2 linked regions of the Canis lupus familiaris genome follow. The protein of the gene in region 1 purifies or fractionates together with the protein of each later gene. This does not show direct contact. Links are inferred from orthologs where the notes say so. Each region holds a gene or a part of one and is shown on either strand. Other genes may lie near its edges.

What was found. The genes of interacting proteins can lie anywhere in the genome.
Region 2: the proteins of NCAPD3 (region 1) and SMC4 purify together in Homo sapiens (co-immunoprecipitation; 3 studies listed by BioGRID and IntAct, with this or other methods). This does not show direct contact. The link is inferred for Canis lupus familiaris from reciprocal best matches to the Homo sapiens genes NCAPD3 and SMC4.

Annotation. Positions count from the first base shown.
Region 1 is NC_049226.1:1,050,457-1,057,193, forward strand, and holds part of NCAPD3 (condensin-2 complex subunit D3), read left to right. Parts: intron 1-1,845; coding exon 1,846-2,008; intron 2,009-6,653; coding exon 6,654-6,737.
Region 2 is NC_049255.1:26,640,366-26,647,202, reverse strand, and holds the start of SMC4 (structural maintenance of chromosomes protein 4), read right to left. Parts: upstream 4,492-6,837; 5' UTR 4,333-4,491; intron 3,160-4,332; 5' UTR 3,155-3,159; coding exon 3,016-3,154; intron 2,126-3,015; coding exon 1,947-2,125; intron 1,495-1,946; coding exon 1,303-1,494; intron 1-1,302. UniProt on the Homo sapiens protein: Central component of the condensin complex, a complex required for conversion of interphase chromatin into mitotic-like condense chromosomes.

The DNA.
Region 1 (6,737 bases):
CATAGCATGTGGCCCGTGTGCTATCAAACCCTGGCGGCTGCTGGTTAAGTGGGGAATTACAGGTTCAGTTTTAGGCTTTTGCACATGAGCTCCTGTTAGGGCATCGTCGCGGAGAAGTCCCTGGCAGTGTGCATTGGAAGACCCGGAGGGAAGTGCAAGTTCAGCAGCCTGGCTGGGCGAGCCCTCTGATCCCGGGTGCAGCGACGCGGAAGTGGGGGGTGAGGAAGAGACCAGGACGGGCCGGGTCGGGTAGAGACAGGACTGCCGGTGGCCTGCAGACAAGCACCAGAGTGAGGAGCGCTGATCCGAAGACAGGGAGGAGCCAGGCACCAGTGCTGCGAGGTCATGGGCAGGCGGAGTCCTGACACGGGCGCTTGGGCCACAGGTCGTTGGATCGTCCCTGGTGACCTACGAGGTCACAGTTCCTCATGAGGTGGGTAGAGCTGAGGTAGCACTAGGAGTGAGGAGGTGGGCAGTCTGCAGTGCTGCAGCCACGGGGCGCGTCTGGGCCGGTGCTGTGTGAGCCATCCCTCAGGGAAGCCTGACCGCAAGCAGATGCCCACCTCCCGCCAGACTAAGGTTTCCGGGGCACAGGGAGCACGAGATGGTGGTCCCGCGGCAGCAGATGAACGCCATGCAGCTGGTACTCCAGCAGCGACACTCTGTGCCCACCACCTCATCCGGCTGCTCAATGCAAGCGGGACAGCCTCCCCAACTCCCCGGCCTGCAAGCCTGAGCAGCGCCACTGGGACTGCCGCGAGCACCTTGACTGCATGATGCACGTGAAGGAGTTTGAGTGGAACGGCAACTGCTCCAGTGGAAGAAGCGGCAGAGCAGAGGGAGGCGACAGATGTGGCCAGAGGCCAGGGAGCTGGGGAGGTGGCCCCCGGGATAGTCCTGTAGTGGACCCGCCCCCACCCTGTGGACCAGTTGATCAATAATAGCCTCCAGGCCCATCAGCCAGAAAAAAGAAAAAGAGTGAGGAGATAACTGCTATAAAGGTAGGAGGGGGTCTTCTAGAAGTTTCACCGTGGAAGAGCGCACCGTGGAAGAATGCGCTTCTGTAAAGTGGCACATGCTAAGCAGAGTGGCCAAGCCAAGGCATTACCTGCTACTTTCCCCATCTTCAGGGAAGCAGGAAGTACAAGATCTGATTTCTTGAACTTTCATGGGCCTATGTTTTTTAAAGATACTCCAGGATAAACCATATGTAGTTGCTGCTGTGTTTGGTTTGTAGAAATAACCCATTTCCTCTTCATGTGTTTAATTGGCAAAACATGGAACGATGATATAATTATTAAAATTGTGGTTTATAGTTTAGGGTGTATTTCCTTTCTCACTTAGGCCTCTCCTGAAATCTGAGGGCTAAACTTTCAGGTATTTCCTTTCCTGCTCTCATTGCCCATAAAGCATTTAAATTTAAGTAAATGGCTCTGATTTCTTTAGTTAGTAACTAGTGATAAATGGTTTTGTGTACATTTAACAGATAGAGGAGTAACTTGTCTGAGTAAACACTAATATAGGGTGTCCCAAAGGTCTTAGTATAGTTTTTAGCTATGATAATTTCAGAAATACATATGCTTCAAACTTATCCACAAATTATTTTTGAAAATTTAATTATTTAAATTTATTACATACTTATTTATCTTTGTAATTTTGAATACTGCATTTTGATTTTTCGTTTCGATCCCTTTGAAGATTTATAGTTGGGAATCAAGTTGGTCTGTTGTGTATATATATATATATTTTTTTTTTTTTTTTTTTTTAAGGTACTAAATACTTGGAAAAATCAAGAGATTTTCCCATTCTCTAATTCTTGGCTTTTATGTTTCTTCCTCCACCCAGAGCATTTGGTCCTTCTTCATTGAGAACCGTGTTTCTCACAGGGCACTGGTGGCATTGTTCTATCACTTTGTTCAAGCCGTTCATACGAGAAGCGTCAGTGTGCAGTGTCGACAGTATGGCCTTCATGCTGCTGGGCTTTATTTTCTGTTGCTGGAAGTACCAGGTATGTGTATTCGATACGGTAGGATAAAATATGTTTTTGTTTTAAATTTTTACATTGTTTGAACCCTTATATTTTGTTTTCTCACTTCTAAAATGGAGCAGTGGTAACCCATCTCGCGGAATTTTTCTGAGTATTAAATGAGAGTAAGTCTGTAAAATACATGGCACGTTACAGGTGTTCGAGAAATATCTTTCCCTTGTTTCTTTAAATGCGTTTGTTTTCTAACGTGGTGTGTCTGTAACCTAATGCAGTTAATCTGAGAGAGGTAAGGCTCGAGGGAGATTGTTTTCAAGCTACAGAAGCTCCATTCCTACCTACCCCCACCTAGTATAAAAATCTGATACTGCCCACTCGTCTCCTGACTCCCCGTCCAGGCTGAGAAAGACTGCTGGGCAGTCCCTGTGTTACATATCTCTCTCCTATGCAGATATGGAGAAACAGTTTACCGTACTAAGAAAGAAAGCGTGAGAATCACTAGTAATGCTTGATGAAGGAAAGTGTAGGAAGGTAGTCTGTTGATGAGCACTGTTCTACTTCTTTTACTGTCAGAGCACTCAGGTGGCTGTTCCTCCTGTGAGCAATAAAGGAGTCCCTTCTACCCACCCAAACCCAAGGCAAGAGAGGATGGAACATGGAGGGGGATGCAGTGGAGAACATAGTTACTGTTTGTCATTGTTTACATAAATTCATTTCTAAGAAATTTCAAGGATTTATCCCATATGATTTGGAAATTGCTAAAAAGACATATTAAAGCCTTGAACATTATTTTGTATTATTGTTTTTTTTTTTTTTTTAAGATTTTAATCATTTATTCATGAGAGACACAGAGAGAGGCAGAGACATAGGCAGAGGGAGAAGCAGGCTCCCTGTAGGGAGCCCGACGCGGGACTCCATCCTGGGTCCCCAGGATCACACCCCAGGCTGAAGGCGGCGCCAAACCACTGGGCTATTGGGGCTGCCCTATTTTGTATTATCGTTAAAGTTACCAATAATGACTGTTGAAATAAGTTCTTAAAGACTTTGGTCTTGCTAAGCAGAGTCTCAGGTCTAACCAAGCTGTCTCACAGAAAAATGATGGTTTTAGGAACTCAAAAGTTTTATTTTTCTCCTCCCTTGCTCGATGCAGTTCCTTCTGATTAAGGTTGAGATGTATGCCAAAGCCAAGAGTGAAGAGTGTTGCTCATCGTAGGCCACTTGCAGCTTTCCAGCAAGACGTGTTCCTGCCAATTACCTTCTGTTTTTAAATGTATCTGGATTATGTTTGGGATACTGTTGATACTTAATTTTTAATCACACTGTGCTCTTTTTCAAGATTGTTTGGTTATTCTAGTCCCTTGTATTTCCATGTAAATTGTAGAAGTTGCATGTCAGTGTCTACCCCAAAAAAGGCTTCTGGGATTTTGACAGTGCACTGAATCTGTAGATCAATTTGGGGAGTGTTGCTGTCTAAACAACATTAGGTCTTCCAATCCATGAGCACAACGTGCCTTTCCATTTATTTCGGTTTTCTCTAATTTGTTTGAATGATACTTTTAAATGTATAATTCTTGTGCTTATTTGGTTAGATTTATTCAGAAGTATTTTATTTTTTCCATGCTATTGTAGATGAAATTACTTTCTCAATTTCATTTTCAGATTGCTTACCTGTAATGTCTAGAAGTACAATTCATTATTAAGTGTAGTTGATGTACAATGTCACATTAATTTCGGGCGTACAATATAGTGGTGGGAGAAGTTTATGGACAAGTCTGTACCTTATGCTGTGCTCAGTACAAGTGAGGTTATCATCTGTCACCATACAGTGTTGTTACAGTACCATCGAGTATATTCCCCGTGCTATGCCTTGGATCCCCATGACTTAGTCTGTAACTGGAGGCCTTCCACTTCCCTGCATCCATTTTGCCCATCTTCAACCCCTCAAGCAACTACCAGTTTGTTCTCTGTATTTATTGGTTTGTTTCAGCTTTGTTTTGTTTTATAATTTTCACATATATGTGAAATCATATGGTATTTGTCTTTCTCTGATTTCACTTAGCACACTATCCTCTAGGTCCATCTATGTTGTTGCAAATGTCAGGATTTCATTCCTTTGCAGCTGAGTAACACTTTATTTTATGTATATCCCCTATCTTTATTCATTCATCTGTCAATGGACAGTTGGGTTGGGCTGCTTCCATATCTGGACTGTTGTAAATAATGCTGCAGTAAACATAGGAGTACATATATATTTTTGAACTAGTAGTGTTCTTCTTCGGTAAGATACCCAGTAGTGGAATTACTGGATCTTATGGTATTTGTTTTTAATTTTTTTGAGGAACTTCCATGCTATTTTCTTTCCACAGTGGCTGTACCAATATTCCCACCAATAGCGCATGAAAGTTCCTCTTTTCCCACATCTTTGCCAACATTTGTCATTTCTTGTCTTTTTGATTTTAGCCATTGTGACAGGTATGAGGTAATAGCTCATTGTGGTTTTGATTTGCATTTCCCTGATGACTAGTAATTTGAGCATCTTTTCAAGGGCTTGTTGACCATTTGTCTTTTTTTGAAAACTGTTCTATTCAGATCCTCTCCCCTTTCCTTAATTAGAGAAGTACAATTGATTTTTTTATTACTGATCTTATACCCTGAAACTTTGCTGAACTCATCTATTGTTACTGGTAGGATTTTCTATGTGTAAGGTTATATCATCTGTGAGTAAACATAATTTTATTTCGTCCTTTCCAGTTTAGGTGCCTTTTATTTCTTTTTCTTGAGTAATTGCCCTGATGAGGACCTCCAGTATAGTGCTGAGCAGAAGTCAGGAGGTGGGCTTCTTGTCTTATTCCTGACCTCAGGAGGAAAACTTTCAGTCTTTTGCCCTTAAGTATGTTATATGCCGTGGGTGTTTTGAGGTTCACCTTTATGATACTGTTATTTCTAATTTGTTGAGTATTTTATTATGAAAGGACTGTGTGTTGCCAGATTCTGTTAGCTAATATTTTATTGAAGATTTTTGCATCTGTATTTACAAGGGATATCTTTTTTGATAAGCTTTTGTCTGATTTGAGTTTCAGGATAATACCAGTCTCATGTAGAATGAGTTGAGTAGTTTTCTTGCCTTTTTTGTATCTTAGAAGTTGGTGAAGAAGGGGTCGTTTTTCTGCCTTAAATTTTTGTAGATTTCAATAACAAAAGCCATCTGGATCTGCAGGTTTTCTTTGAAAGTTTTGTTTGTATAATCTATAGTGATATGTCCCCTTTCATGTCTGATTGGTAATTTGTATCTTTTGTTGTTGTTTTCATCATCTAGAAAAAGTTCCATTAAATTGTATTGACCATTTCAAAGAACCCGCTTGTGATGTTATTGATTATACTGTGTTCTTGTGGCACCTGGGTGGCTCAGTCGGTTAAGCATCCCACTCTTGGTTTCAGCTCAGGCCATGATCTCAGGGTCATGGGATTGAGTCCCACATCAGGCTCTGAGCTTAGCCCTCCACTTGTGTTTGAGCACTTGCTCGCTTGCTTGCTCTCTTTCATAAATAAAATCCTTTAAAAAGAGATGACTTCATGATAGCCTAGCCTATACACTAATAAATGAATCTTTATGGAGTTTTTATGGCATACAGTATTAACAGTCACATTCATAGTGCAGTATTGAAAACATTGTTACGTGATTGTTTCCCTTCAAATAGTGTTTTAATTATGTTTTGATAGGCAGTTAACTGTTAGATTAACTTTTTCCTTTTGAGGCTTGTTTTAAAGCTTTCTTGGAGCAGATATGAAATAGCCTTTACTCTGGAGCTAGTTTAGCTCAGGTGTTTAAGGTTTCAGCATCGGCTGTCCAGAACTCAAATATTTCTCAACCCTGTGTGGGTTATGAAAATTATTCATCTTCTAGCTCCTTGGAGGTTGTTTTTTGCCTACCCTCATGGAGTTTTACCTCTTCGTGCTTATCTTCTGCCCTATGGAGATCTCTGAAGCTTTTTTTCTGTGTAGCTTCCTCTTTTCTAGCCCTTGCCTTTTTGACTCTGATTTCTGTGTTCTCAGCTTAGACCGTCATAATGTACTTAGGGCCACCATTTTCTGCTGTTGTCCAGAAATTGCCTCAAAACATGAAACTGGGACAATTTTAGTGTTTACCTCATTTATTTTTGTTCTTCAGAGATTGTTTTTCTATGCTGCCTATTGCACTGTTTTTTTTTTTTTTTTAAGGTTTTATTTATTCATGAGAGACACAGAGAGAGGCAGAGACACAGGCAGAGGGAGAAGCAGGCTACCTGCGGGGAACACAATGCAGGACTCGATCCTGGGACTCCAGGATCATGCCCTGAGCAGAAGACAGACACTCAACCAATGAGCTGTCCAGGCATCCCTTGCTCCGTGTCTTAAGAGGATTATTTTATACATTTTTGTCCAGTTTTATAGTTTATGGTGGCATGAAAAATATAAAGCCAGTTACTCCCTGGTCAGATACGTTTATCTTATTTATTTCTTCTGATCACTATTTCTCATCTCCTGAGGCTGAAGTTGAATGGTACTTATTTGCTAAAGGGTCATTGTTTAGAGTTCATGATAAGCTCATTTTTACTTATTAATTTTTCATCTGTTGTTATCGACTTATTTTAAGGCATTTTAATCTAACCCACTTATTCTTTATAAATAGGCAGTGTAGCAAATCAGGTGTTCCACCAAGTGATGTTTGACAAATGTATTCAGATTCTGAAGAAGAGCTGGCCTCAAGAATCTA
Region 2 (6,837 bases), on another chromosome or scaffold:
AAACAAGTCTAAAAATATATTTGATTGAAAAAAGAGCACTTGAAGGGGGACAAGAATCTCACATTATCTGAAACAAACTTACCCAAATTATTAAATAATGTTGACAGATTAAATTACCAGTCCATTAAAAAAGCTACAAGAGATGATCCAAGGAAAAGGTAGTAATGGCGTAACATGGCTTAGTTGGTTTTTTTTTTTTTTGGTAAACAATATGCCATGTTAACGGAAGGTATAAAGAATTGCAAAGAATTGACAACTACATTCCTCCCAATTTCTAAAAAAATAAAATAAAACGGACTTTAAAGAATGAAGTATAAATCTACTTTAATATTAAAACTTGCTTTCCTTTAAAAGTTTTGTCATTTTGAAATTATGGCTTTTAAAAATTTACGTGCATCAAACATAATTAAGCAAATAAATCAAACCGGATTTACTGGCAATCATTTTCCAACCTACATTATATGACAGAAAAGCACTAAGAAACAAAATTAAAATAGATGCCACCAGGTAGATTTAATTAAAGCACTTCATATTAAAAAAAATCTAAAAAACAAAACTTGGAAGCCAAGTCACATCCTTGCTTCATTATGCAGTTTTCTATATTCTTAGGTTCCAATCAGTGATTTTTAAGCCATGAATCCCCAAAGTTAGCTATTCAAAAGACGAGAGAAAAAAAAATACAATAGAACCATTTAAATAATCTAGACGTTTTACCTAAAATTGTTTCCTTTTCTAGAAAATAAACATATTAACTTAACCTTCCCCAATTTTAAAGGGTAGTTTATTCATTTACAAAGGTTGGTTTAAACTGAAGCAGAGCTCTTTCATATTCCAAACTAATAACATTAATATGAATTAAAATAACGGGGATAATAAAATTAGTCATCTGTTATATTTTCAAATTTAGGTAATTTATCTGAAAGCAATAAAAACAGAACTTTAAAAACGAACCCAAAATTACAGTTAAAGAATACCTAGTTGGCACTTAGGATACCAAAACTGCTCAATGTTTTATTCTAAAAAGGTAGGCACTATGATGAGCTACTTATAATTCATTCCACTGGCTAAAAATTTTAATATTTTAACAGCTGCCACCCCCACTACTCAAAAAAAAAAAAAAATACGGTTTTGGAGGTAATGAAATGAGTATCTGGGGGGTAATAAAATCATTATCTATTCTGCTTTGAACATACACTGATTTTTAAAAACCAATTTAAGCGAAAAATTATAATTGTGCAATGTATGGAAATTATGTTCCATACTTGGAAGTTGCAAATAACGAAATACTCGCAAATCCCTTACCTTATCAATTATCTTCTGAAAATGAACTTCTACAGTACAACTCTGAATATCCTTGTGTTCATCAGAATTGTGTATTAGTACCGAAAGTTTTTTAGATCTTATTTTTTGTGCTCGATAGCCAAACACAAAAAGCATAGAATCAATAACATTGGATTTGCCACTGCCATTTGGCCCAATAATACAGGAAAAGCGCTGCATAAAAAGAACAGGAAAAAAAAATTAAAGTGAAGTTAAAAAGGTCATACTATATAACTGATTTTAATTTAAACCGCTTGCCTTTTTTACTTGCAGCAAAACTATTTAAAATTTTCATTTCAACTTGTTTTCCTACATTATATTCTCCTTTATAACAAGCTTCAACATTTTAAGACTATAGTCTAAATCACTTTTACAAAATTCATTCTAATAGAAAAAATACTTCCTCCAAACAAACAAAAATAACCCCTCACCAATTCTACTCTGTGTGGAAAACTTAACAGCTAAAGAGGTACCAACGATAACCAGGATAAACAAAAACTAATTTCAGTTGTTAAAAACACAGGAAACATACCATGTATTATCAGTGAGGATAAACAGGATAAAACTGAAATACCTTGTAATAAAAACACATTACTCTATAATAGTTATTTAAAATGATCAAATACCTTATGAAAAGGTCCCAAAATTTTTTCCCCAGCATAGGATTTGAAGTTCTGGTTTACAATATGAGTTATCATAAGCCGAGGAGCTCCAGCTTCATTGGCCATGGCTGGAGGCGGGGGAGGAGGGATGCTATTCAAAATCTCTTCTAAACTTCTATTATCAATTTCCTCACTTGGTGTCTCTAAGTCAGTCAAAGGGAAGGGAAAGCAAGAGGAAAAAGAAAGCCTGCATTAGTGCAATTAGTTCGGAGGACTACTGCCTGCTAATCTTTGGAAAAATGTTACTTATGAAACCTAGGAATCTGTATTTTCCACTTAAATGTATTTTACTAAGAAGAAATGAAAATCTTTCAGCTTGATTTTATAAAAATAGAAATTCTTAAAGAAATGACCACCAGTCACAAAATCCTACAAAAATCTATCTCTTAGGAGTCAAAATACTACACCATAAAGCAAATCTGGGAAAACCACAACAACCTGATTCTCTGTTCCTCGCCTAAACAGGTGGTTAAATCCTAAGGCTCTAGATCTAACTTTCTCCCAATCTCTGAGCACCTGGAACCTTAACTTTGGACACTCAAGAGCTTCCAGCGACTCTGCCACGGGGCTTCCTAATGTCACCCAATTCCAGTACTCACAAAAAAGCTACCGTAGTTTCAAATAAATTATCGTTATCTTTTTAAACGCAATTTAGACCAGAGAGGTTAAATTAGGGCCATGTCACTTTTAAGATACAATCATGTTAATTCTGCCTAGAAAACAGTCCACTAGCTATTGGCTGATCACGCCGATCTCCGAGGAAATACAAGGCCACAAATAAAATCGTAAATGTAGCCACGCACTTGCCCCAATCCCCTCCAACACCGTAACACCGAAATTGCACGAAGACTCCGACCTCCGAAAATCGCCAAATCGCTTTGTCGAGCACTACGGAACCGACATGCGACCTACAGTCGCCAACTCCGCAGCCCCTCAGCTCCGCGCCCCCAAACACCCGCCAGTCCCGGCTTGGGCGCGGACCCACGCTGGCCGCCCCGCGCGTTCTCCAGCGGAGGAGCGGCGAGGTACTTACCTGTGGAAGCAGGGGCCGGGCTGCCCGCGCGGCCAGGCGGGGGTTCGGGCTCCGCGTCGCTGCTGGGGCCGTCCGGGGACTGCGGCGGCTCTTCCCTCCCGCGCCGGGCGGTGGAAGGTTGGGTGCCCTTTCGGGGCATGGTCGCTGGGGCCGGGGGAGAGCAGGGGCGAGTCAGTCCGCCGGGCCGCAGGGCTGCGCGGGTACATTCCCCGCCGGCCACCGCGTCGGATGAGCTCAGCCCCCACCCCATCCCACTCGGGGAAAAACTCCGTCCACCCGTTTCCGAGAACCCCTTTTAGATAACGCCGCCGGACGCCGGCGGGTGCTCGGTAAAGAAAGGCGCGCGCACACACACACACACACACAACCCCAAGTGCCAAAAAAGGCGAGATGCGTTTTCTTAAGCCCGAAGCAACTGGGCAAACCTAGACGTGCGTGGCCACCAGGCAAAGGGCAGAACGGCTTACGTTCCATTTTCTTAATGCCTCCCCACCCCCGTCCTCCCACGGCAGAAGGGTCTAACAATCCTCTAATTTCCTAACGAAATAATTCCTGCGCGGCGGCATTTGCTGGTATTCCCACGCTGCTGGGGTTAGCGAAGCAAGCGCAGAAGAGACTTTGGCCGAGAAGACTTTTGTATCCGCTTCAGGTCTGAGGGACTCTCAACTCCTCCTGAGGAGCGACGACTAACGGGCGACTCGCCACCCACTTTCCCCGCCATTTGGCTCCGGGCGCCGCTGACGGCCCCGGGGGCTTCCAGGTCTCGCTCGCTGCCGTCGGACCCGGAGACGGGGGTCGGCCACTCCCGATTTCCAAGACCAGACCTAGCAGCGCCTGGTCCGGGCCAATCATCTTGGGGGTGGCGGGGGTCTGTCCCCTCCGACCCCCCCGTGGAGCCTCGCTGGACAATCCGCTACGAAAGGTCATCACGAAGGGCTCGGACTCGGTGAGCAGTCCCTTGGGGGAAGAGAGGAGGTCAGGGGGCCGGGGCAGGGGAGACGCCCTTTCCCCGACAGAGACCGGGATTTCCGAGAAGAGCTCTGCGAGGCTTAAGAGTCCGCGTCCCCCGCGCCCCCCCCCCGCCCCGAGGCGCTTAAGTAGCTCAGAGAAGTGGCGCCCGCGAGGAGCGCGCGGGAGCCCCGACCGCCGGGAGGCGGCCGAGGGGGGAGGGGTGACAGCGAAAGAAACCTCCCGGCGGCTGCCTCAGCCCAGAGCGGACTTCGGCGGCTCCAGCTCAAGGCCTCTACTTTCCCGGCGCCCGCGGACCGGGCAGGAAGGGAGAGTGTGACAACCTGGTCAGGAAAAGAAGTACTTTACCTGCGGCGCAGGCCACTCGCACCAAAACCGGAGACCGTTGTATAGCACCCCCCGCTCCTACCGGTGTTTCGGCTCCGGGTCCTTCACTCGAAAATGGCGCCTAAAATACAAACTCGAACGGAAATTCGTTACAAATGCGCGCAATGCTTTCTGGGAACCACTAATTTGAAAAAAATGCGGCGCTTGCCACCGCCATCTTCTGGTCGCTTGCACGCATGCGCGAACTCCTGGCGGGACCCTGGCGGGACCCCGGCGGCCGGGCTCGTCTGTAGTAAGTGAAGAGGCGGAGCGAAGCGCTGTTTTGTTTTAGGCCTACGGCAACAGTACTCTTAAAAAATACCAAAAAAAAAAAAAAAAAAAGAAAAGAAATCCCAATCTAGAGAGAGTTTTGAACGAGAGGAAAAAAAAAAAAAAAAACCCAACCCAGGAGGGCTCCACCCACAGCTGGAGGAGGGCTCCGTCGTCTACTAACGTCCCTTCAGGAGAGGGCGGGCTCGGGTGACCCGCGGAGGGGGAAGTATCGCGAGAAGAGGGAGTGTGCGCAGCTCGTAGGAGTCACTATGGTGACAGGGAGGTCGGGAGGCTTCTTGGTAACTGGTCCTAGCTCCGGGAGCAATCGCCTCTGCTTTCCTGGAACTTTAAGGTAAATCTCGTCGCCTCCGGACGTGGTGAGGAAAGGGTTTGGAAATTGTGGCCATCGACGGATCCCACCTTACCTAGTGTGATAGCGTATGCGGCACCGAGCATCTGCCGCGTCCCCCTGCAGGCAGCGAGCGGGGCGCTGGACGAAGCTTTTGGGATGCGAAGCAGGAAGCCCTGAGTTTGGAAGGAGTAGAAGGACAAGACGAAGAACAGAAACACCCGGATCGGTGAATGATTGCATAGTCTATACGTCAATAGCAAAATACTTTGGAATTTGTTGGTGTCAGGTCATTCGTGTCACTAGCGAAAGGGGAATTTCGGGCTTTTAGGATGATTTGATTGAGATTCCGTAATGGAAGAAAATGATTGGTTGATGTCATCTGGTTATCTCCACGAGAAAATTATCGATCGGAAAATATTCCTTCGGTAACTTTTGAATACGTTGTACTGTGAATTACTAAGCAGGTATTCCTGTTTCCAGAGAACTTAGTTTTGTGGGTCGATTTTTAACGTGGAGTCCGTGGTCCTATTGGTGGGGCGATTGAGATTCAGTGGAATTCATAATGCTCCCCCCTCCCACCCCCCACCGCCGCCAGCTGAAACGGTAAACAGAATTCTGTGTGTTTGTGCATTTTCCTGGGGAGTTAGTTTCCTCAGAACTTTGATTCTCAAACGTGGTCCTAATCACCTATTATGTTAACCACCGCCCCCAATAAGTATGTATTCAGCGACACTTAGGAAATTGTCATTGAGAACTGGGAGCCCTGCCCTCCCTTTGACTTTTGCATACTTAGTGCCTGGCATACTAAAGCACGGAGAAATCTGCTTTATAAATGAATTTATGTTACCATTCTAAGTAAGTAGTACGAATCTTGCGCCGGGAGTAAAAAGAAAAGTTCAGTGATTCTCAAGAGGGATGTGGAGGAGACACTCCCTGACAACTCTTTTAAGAATTTGGTGAAGTTCAGAGACTGATGTGGTTTGCCAGAACATTGACTCGGGTGTATAACCCACATTTATTTATTTTTATTTAAATTCAAGTTAGTTAACCTATTGAATTATTAGTTTCAGGGGTAGAATTTAGTCCAATTTAGTGATTCATCATTTGCATGTAACAGTGTTACATCAAGTGCCTCCTTAATGCCTATCACCCAATAATATGCCTTTTCTTTCAAAGCTGAAAAAAAATAGCTATTGTTTTCCTAAGATAAACTACAGACAAAGTCTATGAAAAAAATTTTTTGGCTGGTATGCATATTAAGAAAACGTAATGATTCTCTTTCAAAGCTTATGGAAACCTTTGGATTTTCAAAGTTTGTAAAACACTACAAAACTGGGGATGGAGAGGTATCAACCATGAAAAAAAGCAAAGACTAGGCCAAATTGAGTGGGACAGAAGGGTCATGGAGACAATGTAATTAAAAGATGTTACCAGTTAACAAAATCCCAAATCCCATCATTTTTTTAGCTGCATGCTTGGACAACTTACCCAATTTATCAATCTCTCTGAAAATATTTGTTATAAAATTAGTATATACTGTCTGCCCTATAGAATTGTCTGTAATCGTCTACCACACATGCTAAGCATTTGATGTTACTGTGTTTACGACACTGATTTTATTAGGGTATGTATTAAGGATGAATAATGGGATGGCGAGTTAGAAGGTCAGCTTATCAAGGTTCTTGAAAGCCAGACTGACTGAAGATGTTAAATATGATACGAAGGAACCACTTATTAGAAAAATTTTGGGGATCCCTGGGTGGCGCAGCGGTTTGGCGCCTGCCTTTGGCCCAGGGCGCGATCCTGGAGACCAGGGATCGAATCCCACGTCAGGCTCCCGGTGCATGGAGCCTGCTTCTCCC